2 linked regions of the Drosophila melanogaster genome follow. The protein of the gene in region 2 interacts with the protein of the main gene of each other region in a pairwise test. Each region holds a gene or a part of one and is shown on either strand. Other genes may lie near its edges.

The links. The genes of interacting proteins can lie anywhere in the genome.
Region 1: the proteins of crq (region 2) and Spn43Ab interact in a two-hybrid assay, tested with the Drosophila melanogaster proteins (one large-scale study listed by BioGRID).

What each region holds. Positions count from the first base shown.
Region 1 is NT_033778.4:7,151,159-7,155,342, forward strand, and holds Spn43Ab (serpin 43Ab), read right to left. Parts: upstream 2,485-4,184; 5' UTR 2,407-2,484; coding exon 2,379-2,406; intron 1,987-2,378; coding exon 1,100-1,986; intron 906-1,099; coding exon 761-905; intron 695-760; coding exon 573-694; 3' UTR 504-572; downstream 1-503. Other genes in the region: Spn43Ad (serpin 43Ad), read right to left, coding at 2,722-2,834, 2,892-3,042, 3,241-4,184.
Region 2 is NT_033779.5:447,725-454,595, reverse strand, and holds crq (croquemort), read left to right. Parts: upstream 1-1,571; 5' UTR 1,572-2,019; intron 2,020-3,293; exon of another isoform or gene 3,294-3,366; intron 3,367-3,717; 5' UTR 3,718-3,801; coding exon 3,802-3,930; intron 3,931-4,055; coding exon 4,056-5,161; intron 5,162-5,275; coding exon 5,276-5,366; intron 5,367-5,425; coding exon 5,426-5,575; 3' UTR 5,576-6,342; downstream 6,343-6,871. Other genes in the region: shv (shriveled), read right to left, coding at 211-266, 326-1,334.

The sequences.
Region 1 (4,184 bases), on a different chromosome or scaffold from region 2:
GTGCGCGAACCAGTTTATCGACAGGCACTCCGCGAATTTTTTCACGAACGCGCCAAGAAATTTATAATAAATACGCCTAAGCTCAAATTGTTGTCAGCTGGCTCGGCTTTTGTTGATTTATGTGCGCGATTAAAGGAAACAACGCAGCGCAGTCGGCCGAGAAACCGCAGAATAAGATAATAAATATAAGTAATGCCGAAAGGCATCACCCCCGCCCCCAGTGTCACCAGTGAAATACCTGTGAGTGCCAATCAAGCGACAAAGAAACCGAAAAGACATCAGCCCGTAGAACGCCAGCCATAAAAACTTCGGATACATCCTCCGCTCCGCAAACATGGATACCCCAAATCAAATGCCTGTTGAGCTAGAAAGGTGAGTGCCGCGCCGGATTAAAAATAATCTAAAATGCAACCTTTGGGAAAAACACTTGGACGTCGTCCATTCCAGTTTCATACAAGTTGTTAATTTCTGTCAGTCTTTTGTTCAAAAAGTAACATTCATTAGGTCAATTTACGTGTGTTTTTTATTTGTAAGTTTTAACAAAATGATCTACTCCGTATCTGCGATCTAGCTTAGACATAAGCATAGTTAGCAATGTGTCCGATAAAGGCGATTGAGTCCTTGTACTTGATGGCGAACACGAACGGATGATCTGCCTCGAACTTCTTGGAGCGCGAAAAGAGTCCTTTAAGCACTGGATTTCGGAAGAAAGGTAGTCACTTCACTGGGATCTGCTTAGTGCACTTAGGTGTCTACTCACATCCAGTTTCCAGGGGTTGATCCACGCCAGCTTCAGTGACCTCCACATTGGCCTTGTGCTCCACTGCGTTAATGAAATGGCTGACAAACATGCGGTACATGTTGCCAAAGTCACCATCTCTCGAGAACATTGTATGGACGCCCAGCTAGTTGACGAAAGTTAAAGTGTTAGATTAAACATCATCATAAATAGTTGATAGTCTTTTAAAAATGTAAAAATGTAAAAATGCAATCAGAATTTATCAACTGACTTATGAAAAAAACCTTTCTCATAATCCAAAGAAATATTATTACAATATCGTAACCACTTGAAAATTCGCTCAAATCGATTCCTACTTACCTTCTTGAATGGTCCCTCCAAACCCAAGCCAAAGGTGACACTAAACTTGGGCAGCAGCACCTCCACCTTTTGCTGGCTCATCGCTCCGATTTCGGCCAGAAGATTCTTACCGGACAGCGACTGCTGCAGGGATCTCAGACCATCCTTGCGATTGGGCAGGAGCAGCAGCATGGAGAAGTCGGGGTTCTGGTAGGGCAGCTCCACCACCTTGGCGTCCAGGGAGTTGACCTCGGCGTAGTTGAAGTTCTGCAGCGTCCACATGGTGTCTACCTTGACAGACTGCCCGCTTCCGGTGCGGAAGGAGCGCTTTTCGGTCTTGTCCAGCCGGAAGGCCTTTTGCCAGGCGGCTGAGTAGGAAACGCCGTTCACGATCACTCCCTCGGTGCGATCATTCAGCAGCTCGGCGCGGAGGATGTCAGTGATCTTGCCGTTGGTCTTGGTGGCCACCGCCCGGTTGATGCCATCCGCCGTGCGCTTGTTGTACGGCGGGTGAAAGTCCAGCTTGTCGATGTTCGAGTCGAACTGGCGCTGGGCCACGTCCCTGAAGGAGCCCTTGAACTCAAGGTTCTCGTTGATGTAAATGTTGTTGGCCAGCCGGAAGTTGTTGTCGCGGGTCAGGGCCTGTTGGTAACTACCGCTGCGCTGGCTCACCGCATCCGCATCGCCAGGACCTAAACGCAGCCCCTGCTGCAACTCCGATGCCGTCTGACCCTTGGCCCCCACGAAGGCCAGCGCCATGGAACTCTGTATGGTCGCTGGCGAGATGACCACATTTTCGTTCAGATGATCGGCGGCCACGGCGTTGTAGAGATCGGCAGCCAGCAAATTGCGATCGGCAGCCGCATCGTAACCCACGGTCTTGGACTGCGACACTGTCGCGAGGAGAACTAAAGGAATCGATGCGAAACATGGCATTAGTCGCAATTTGTTTGCAGGCTCCGCCCCGCCAGATGAGGCACACTTGGAGAAAATTATAGCTCGAATAATTGTCACATTTAATTCACATATTTTTTCGTGCGATTTGATTCACTTTTTATATAATTTTCACAGAAATAGGAAGGATATTTGTCACTTTGAAATCGATTTGACTTTATCACCAAGTTAGAAACTGTGGCATTACGTCAAATATCAATTGAAAATAGAAGAAATTTATTCTTAATGATAATAAAACACCCAAAATTGTAGCAACTCTTTTGATAGCAACGGCCTTTAAAGTGGAAATACATTCCTGTACAGCTTTCGTACAGTGCACAAACCAGATCGCTTAATTGGGGCTTACGTAATAGGCAGCTGATGATGACAGCCATGGTCGTCACATAAATTGTTGATGGGCGTCTCCTGCTCCGCTTGATTCGCACTTGAGCTCGTCGGAATGTGAACTGAAATCTCTGCGATCGCAGAGCGCCTATAGAGGTTGATCCAAGTCGGATTCAAACACGAAACTCAGCTCTCGGGTCCCAAATACAAATACCGATCAAGTGTGTTTACAAATCATTTGTCACCTTTGGCTGGCCACGGGTGATTCTGTTTATTTCGCGGAGATTTGAGTGGGGCTGATAAGGCGATAGCCCGCCCGGCTTGAACTAGCATTGGAATCGAGAATTAGGTATGCCTAGAAAGACTCAGATGTCGACGATGTGGCCGGACAGCAGCAGAGTTTTGCCATTGCCGATGGCGTAAAAGAACGGGTGATTGATGACCAGGGGCAGGGCTCGTCGGAACAGATCCCCGAAGGCTAGAAGTACACCTGGTTTAGGAGGCTTCTTGGTCAGAGACTGGCGTGATCACTTACAGAACGAGTCGTCGGCATTGCCGCCATCCTCCTGTAGCTCCAGGAGACCACTCTGGACCACTGCTCCCAAGGGTGGAGCCGAACTGGACAGGATGGAGCTGAAGACCTCGCTCAGGTGGACCTCCGATGTGAATAGTTTTGCCAGACCCAACTGCAAGGGAAATCATGTTGAGAACATTAAATTTCCCACTCAAGCCAAAGGAGAAGTCTAATGACTGCTTCTTAGCTTAATAAGTATCCACGTAACTCTAGCGTTTCTTATTTAATATTGCGTTCCATATGGAAAACGTTTGATTTGAACTTGTACAAGCTGCAGTTCCAAGAGAAATCCTAACAGTTGTTAACTCACCTCCTCGAGCACGTGCTTCAGGTCGGAGTGGACTAGCACTCTGAGCTTGGGCAGAGTGAGGGCCACCTTGCGCTCCTCGAGCTGGGACCTTAGCTGGTGGAGATCGGACTGCGCCAGCTTCCTCTCAAGTTGGGCCAGGCCATCAGGCCGATTGGGAAATACAATGAGCATTCGGAGGTCTGCAGTGGCGAAGGGCACCTCAATGAGCTGGGCGTCCAGAGCGGGCACTTCAGCGTACCTGTAGCGGTGCTGTCCGAACATGGCATCCACCAGCCTGGGGCGATTTCCCCCGGCAAAGAAGTTGATGCTCTGCGTCTCGGTAGGATCGAAGGCCCAAGCCCAAGGGGCTCGGAAGGTGACTCCCGAGACGTGTAAAAAGGGCGTGTTGTGCTCGGCCAAGGACTCGAGTTGGGGGGCACTGACGAGCTCCCCCAGGCTGAAGTTGCTGCGGCTAAGGAAGGCGTAGTTGATATCCTGGGCCGCGTTCGACGCACTTTCCCACGACAAGCGGTGGCAGCCGACGCCCATTCGGGCGGCCAAGGTCTCGAATTCATTGCGGAAGTTGAAGGTGAAGCGCTGCTGTGCGTAGAGGTCACTCAGCAACCGCAAGCGACAGCCAATGGCAGCCGACTGCTTGAGGTCCGTCAAAAGGGTCTCGAAGTCCTGCACCGCAAGCTTCGGGTGACTGGCGTGGGTCAGCTCCAGAGCCTGGCGGAGTTGGCTACCGTACTCCGAAGAACTTTCCGCATACAGCAGGCTGAGCGCCGCCTGTATAAGCAAGGGGGAAACCACCACATTTGCATCTGGTTGAGTTAGTCCCAACTTAGTAGTTAGGCGTAGGCCAAAGCGGTTACTCGAGACGCTGGCCGGCGATCTGGCCAAGAGCTCCCCGTCGACTGGAAGCGTTAAAGCTATAGCCAGGCCCACAAGTAGGGCGGAAAGAA
Region 2 (6,871 bases):
GCAGGAACCGCCTTAATAGTTCCCTCTCATTACACTTTTGCTATTTTACAAAATTCTAAACTAAAATTAAATTGTTTTCGCACAACTTTTTTGAACAAAGTCATCTCTTGAATTAGGGGCGTTCCCAAATCAAAGTCGCCCTGTTAGTTAGGCATTTAAAAACTAGAGTACAGCCGGCGAGCACTTTTATTGGGGATGAAACATGGGTATTCACAGTCCATTGTATATGCGATTGATGGAGGATTGGTCGAGTATTTTCTTGAGCGCTAGAATTAGAAACGTTTATTAATGAAACAATTACTCTTGTGATAATGTATATGCTAACCTTCCTTGTCCTCCTCCGTAAGATCCTTCTTGGGGAACTCCACATCGAAGGTGATGTACAGGTTGCCGGTGAGGTTGTTGTTCTCAAAGTTGGGCATGCCCTCGCCCTTCTTGCGGATTCTAGCGCCGGGCCACGTTACCTTCTCTCTCGTGACGGGCACCAGGTGTCCATCAAGGTGCTTGATCTCCATGGAGAAGCCGACAAGGGCATCCTGCAGACTGATGGTCACGTTCGTGTACAGATCATCATTCTTGCGCAGGAATCGCGGATGCGGCATTTGTTGAACCCGCACAATGAGGTCGCCGGGCTCCCCATCGATATGTGGCTCCCCCTCGGCCACGAACCTCGTCTCTTGGCCGTCGACCATGCCCTGTTCCACCTCGATCTCCAATGTGCGCTCCTCGTTGACTAGCTTCACGTTGGGACACTCGTCGCACACCGTCTGTTGGATCATCTGGAAGCGCCCGGGTCCAAGGTTCCGGGTGACCATCTCCTGGCGGCAGTTGCATTTCCTGGTGCCTGAGGCGGGTTTCGTTACAGGCTTGTTCCTCACAATTTCCACAAAGTTTCCGGAGTATAGCTCCTCCAGGGAAACGTACAAGTCCATTACGATATCGGCGCCTCGCGGAGCATCTTGCTGCTGGCCATCACCACCGAAGTGAAAGCCGAAGTCCCCAAAGAAGCTAGAGAACGGATCACCACCGTGATCCATCATGCCCTCCTTCTTGAGGCATTCCTCGCCGCAGCGGTCGTAGGTCTTCCGTTTGTCCGGATTGGAGAGGACTTCGTAGGCCGCTCCCAGGTCCTGGAACTTTGTGGAGGCATCCGGGTCGTCCTTGTTCTTATCCGGATGCAGCTCCTTGGCCAAACGGCGATACGCCTTCTTCACTTCGTTCGTGTTGGCGTTTTTCTTTACGTTCAGTATTTTGTAGAAGTCCCGGCCGGCAAATGACTCCTCCACCAGCAAGAGGGACAGCTGAATTATAACCAAGCACTTGATAAGCTGCATTTCGTTTTTGATCCTGTTTGATTCAGCAATTCATTCTTTTTAACCAGCTGATTCGAAATACGATTTTAAATGCTGGCAAAAGTGTAAAAAAATTGTAGTTGTCGCCGCTGGCAGCTTTGTTTGTGTGTGTGAGTCGTGGTCTGCGCTGATTGGTTGGCACTGTCGTTAGGGTTGTCACCACTTCTCTAACAGAACAGCTGTTTCGCATTACAGTCAATCCAAAAACTGTGGCAACGTTGCTTACAGTGCTGTTACAGCGCATATAAACGCTTCTGGTCACACTCGCCCAGCGAAGATAAAGAAATAAATTGTTTAATCCAATTTAGCCCAGCAAACTGCAAGTTTGCAGTTTATCTTTCTCTGCTTGCCCTCTTCGGCAACGCGAAAGTGCCTTTTTTTTAGTTGGATAGCAGCTTTCAGATCAATTCCAAAGGCGCTTCCCACGCTTGAGTTTAGCTGTAAAAGTAATAAGAAGGGAAGTCTGACAATTTGAATCCCTTTCGTACGGTACTTTTGCGATTCCAGGCACCAAAGGTAAAGGGACTAAGCGATCATCGAAGCGGGAAGTCCCAGAAAAATAAATTTACTCCGAACTATGGCATAATAAATGTCAAGGCCAAAGCAAAACAATAACAGAGCCATCAGAAGCTAATGCTAAAAGACGTAGTTGTGTGTGAGATAAAAGGTGAGTAATTCATCACTTTAATTATGCAGCCGGTAATGTGCAATAATACGTGAATATAACTGTACGCCTAATTCGCAACTGGTGATGTCAACACTTTAAGCGCAAGTTGATCGAGGTTTAAGTTCAACCAGAAAGCAAACATTTCACGGGATGCAAGCTATCGCCCTCAAAAGAGAGACAACATGCAGTAAACATATATAGTGCATACACAATGCAGTTTACAACAAACTATTTTAAAAACCATTTAATATTAATCAATTATTATTAATATTAATTCGCCTTAAACAGTTAACATGAATTCTCGAGTTATCCTACTGGGACTCGTACAAGCTCAAAAGGCTCTACTGTAGTTCCAGACCCCCTTTTTTGCCTGTTATCAGTCGTTAAACAAAGAAATATTCATTGTAGTATAGAGCCAGCCCAATAATCCGACAAAAACAAGACTGAGTCAGTCGACGGGAGGAAACAAAGCAGGGAATCGAAATTGCAATACGATATGCACCAGACTTACGATAAAAACAGGCCCCGTTCCTATTGCATTAAAAGAACTTTGGATTACAGGACGGATCAAGGCTGATATGGTATAGTAAAGCATATTTCGACCGAATTATCAGTATCTCCACAAAGCTAATCTTATCAGTGCCATAAATAGGAACCCCTTGTGAGAACATCTTGACCAACCAACCACAGAAGCAAATAGCCGAGAAATGCGGGTATTACCCAGATAACGATACTAAACACTATCTTAGACTTGAATGAATTTGAATTGCAGACAAGCATGGACATAAATAACATCTAGGCATGAAATTACCATAATTATAAATGTTTATAATATTAAAAGGAATTTTAACTATTGTAAATCAATCTGCCATAAAACCTACTCACTCGATCAGAATAACCACCCGAGTCGATCTAGCCATCCGCCTTCGCATGAACGCTTTGATCTCGCGAACTATAAATGTTAGAAAGATAAGATTTTCATTTCTATCGCTATGCTACAAATATTTGCAACATACCCACTCTGAATACCAAAATATTAAAATTTTGTGGCAGCCAGCTACCTGAGTTACGAGTAACTGAAAGTCGAGGAATTCGAGTAGAGTGATCTCTTTTTTGTGTTTCTCCAAACGCATCCAAGTTAATGCCAATCAAGCAAATATTCCCGACTAGCAAAGTCCAGAGATTAATAAACGAACCGAGTGGTAATTGAACGTCAAGTGAACCCATTAAAAGACACACAGTAGACCGCTGGCCACCAGTTTCGCCCTGCCAGGGGACGCGTACGGTTTTGATAGTTCCGATTGTGCTAAGGCCGGAATATTTTCGATCCCCTTTGATTGAAAACTAGTAAGTTTAGGCGACCTAAACAGTGGCAAGTGCTAGAAAACTGAATAGATCTGCGGATGTCTGCACTTGAAGTTGACTGTGCGGATAAGTGGGCTGTCCCACGTAATCTTCTCCAACTGTCATGGACTGCAAAATATATTCAAAAATATACACTTATAATCGCCGATGCTTATCGAATACTTAAGCAGGGACCAGCCGGCGATAAGCCTTGGTCTTATTATTTTCAAAATTACCAACTCTGCAGGGTGCCAGGATGGGTGTACCGGGAAATAAACTAATAAAAATTCGATACGGATTATGGACATTGATTATACAAGGAAAAATAACCCCACAAACTGTCTTCACTTCCAGATGCAACTAACTGCCTAGGGCTGGATTATTCCCACCTTGGCTATTCCTTAAAAGCGTGAACCTTTGGAATCCTACGTATCCACCATGTGCTGCAAGTGCTGCGGGGAAACTCAACGAAAGGTCTGGGTCTTCGGCTTGGGATCGGTTTTCCTTTTGCTGGGAATACTAATCGTGGTCTTCTGGCCGGGTATTGCAGATAACCTTGTAGAGGATGTAAGTATATTTAGCCGTCCGAGATTGCGTATTACAGGTTCAGGGAAATATGTTTACCGAACGATAACTAAAAAAAAAAAAGATTTTCATTTCGACATACTAAAATGAACTTAATCTTTACCCAGGGCCTTACCCTCAAGCCCGGGACTGATGCCTATGAAAGCTGGCTGGAGGCACCTATCCCCATTTACCTGAGCTTTTACATGTTCAATTGGACGAATCCCGAGGACATAAGGAACCCGGACATTAAGCCAAACTTCGTGGAAATGGGTCCGTACACCTTCCTGGAAAAGCACAAGAAGGAGAACTATACGTTTTACGATAATGCAACGGTGGCATATTATGAGCGCCGCACATGGTTCTTTGATCCGGAGAGATCCAATGGCACATTGGACGACATGGTGACTGCTGCCCATGCCATTACCGCCACGGTAGCGGATGAGATGCGAGACCAGCGCAAGATCGTCAAAAAAATCATAAACTTTATGCTGAACCATGAAGGCGGAAAGTTGTACGTAACCAAGCCGGTGGGCGAATGGATCTTCGAGGGTTACCAGGATAACATTACCGATTTCCTAAACCTGTTCAACACCACAAAGATCGACATACCCTACAAACGCTTCGGGTGGCTGGCGGACCGCAATGAGTCGCTGACTTACGATGGCTTGTTTACTATTCACACGGGCACTGACGATATATCTAATCTGGGTAGACTTACCCACTGGAATGGAAAATCAGAAACTGGATTTTACGAGATGCCTTGTGGCATTGTTAATGGAACCACGGGCGACATGTTCCCGCCAAAGATGAATGTAAACGATGAGATTACGATTTTTGCCACCGATGCTTGCAGATTTATGAACCTCCGGCCCCGGGGCACATACGAGAATCACGGCCTGACCGCCACTAAGTGGGTAGGCACCGAGGAGACTCTGGACTCCGGAGAAAACTACCCTAACCAGGCGTGCTTCTGTGATGAGGCGCGATTTGATGAATGTCCCAAGACCGGTGTCGTGGAGTGCAAGGCGTGCCGAGACAAAGCACCCATTTACTCCTCCTTCCCTCACTTTTACCTAGCGGATCAGTCGTATGTTGATGCTGTCAGTGGAATGAAGCCGGAGAAGGAGAAGCACGAGTTCTTCCTAGCCGTGGAACCGATTACTGGAGTGCCTGTCCAAGTGCATGGACGCATCCAGATTAATATGATGATTGAGCCCGATGACGACTTCGAGTAAGTAAAGTAAAAGTTCATGGATAAAAACTACTCATACGATTCATACAATTACGTACATAAAAGCAAAGGTCTCAAGGAAAATGTAAGTCATAAAGTAAATTTTATTTGCAGCATATATCGTGGAGTGCAAAAGGTTTTAATGCCCATGTTCTGGTTCGATCAGTATGCAGAGCTCTCCTCCGAATTGGCATCGAAGGCCAAGGTAAGACCTAATCCATATTTGAAATGTCTTTCATTTAAGTGCCATACTTTCCATTTCAGTTGGCCATTAATTTGTCCAGTTACGGAATCATATTCGGCTATTCCATGATAGCTTTTGCCAGTGTCTTTCTCATCACCGGCATCACGCTGACTGTGACGAAAAAGTGGGTGCGGCGAACTCCCGAGGATGAGGACATACTTACCAACTAGAGCAAAATAGTTTTTAAGCTTTGCCAAAGTGCCAGGAATTGTTAACTCTCCTAGTTCATTCTGATAGTCGCCCGTCAAATGCTGTTCTTTGTCAGTTATGCGTTATGTAATATGTAAGTGATACGAATCGACGTTCGTCTTGCAGTTTGTGATAGCAAAACCTACTCTAAAAAAAAAACTAAAAACTACTCTAACTCTAAAAAAAAAACCTTACTCTATCTGCATATTACACGAATCATTCACAAGTTGAAACTTTCTGTTTGAGACTTAAGTTATCGTACTTGATAAACAATACTTCATACAACTAAAACACTCCGTGCATTTTATTTTAACGTTTTTATTTGAATTTTCATTTATTTTGAAAAGATAGTTTTTTACAATTTCTGTATGCTTTTCTGCAGGACTTTTACTTATCGTATACGATTGTTGGATGCTTTAACGATTTGCTTTATAAATGCATTATTCAAATGTTGTTTTGTAAATTAATAAATAAAAATAATTGTATACGTATATATATTTATTTATATATATGTATATATATTGGTGTATATGTAAGATATATGGCAAAAATTTTACATTTTCTCAAAGATCACATTCCTCAATTTAGCCATAGACTTTTAGTCGAGAAAAATCTACGCAAATATTTGTGACATCCATCAAAAACTCAAATTAATTTTTGCACGCACACTAACACATCCAAAAAAACAGTGGGGGATTATTAATCGAACAAAAAATAATAAACAAAGTGGATACAAAAAATAAATGATAATCATCTCTCGCTTATTACTATGGTGGGGATGGAGGGCAAGTCTAGGCACTCTTGAAATTCTTTAGTTCCCTTCGTCCAGCGATCGGAGCAAGCAAACCCATTTCAAACCATTTCATAGCCGATTTGAATGCTTTTCACTTGATTCTACCGCTGGCCCGATTCGTTGTGAGTATGTGTGTGTGTGTATAAAGAGCGACGTTGCTACGTACTAAAAAATTTGCATAGTATATGTTGCGTTGTTCTTGGTGACTAAAATAGTTATAAATTTAGTATAAGTTTAAATAAAAATCAATCACAGTTGTTTGGGCGGAAGTAGTTAGTTTTAAGTATTCGCATTTCTGGCCTAACTAAGTATTTGCAGCTAAGACTAAAGATCTACGATGTAGTTTAGTAAATTAGGTAGTGGTCGTATTTTATACTTGAGTATTGTTGCTTCCCATTTTGATAAGCTTCCTCTCTATTTCCGATGTTGTGTCATGTTGTGGTCTGTGCTGTGGTTACGTTACCAATTCCCTTAAGTGACTAGA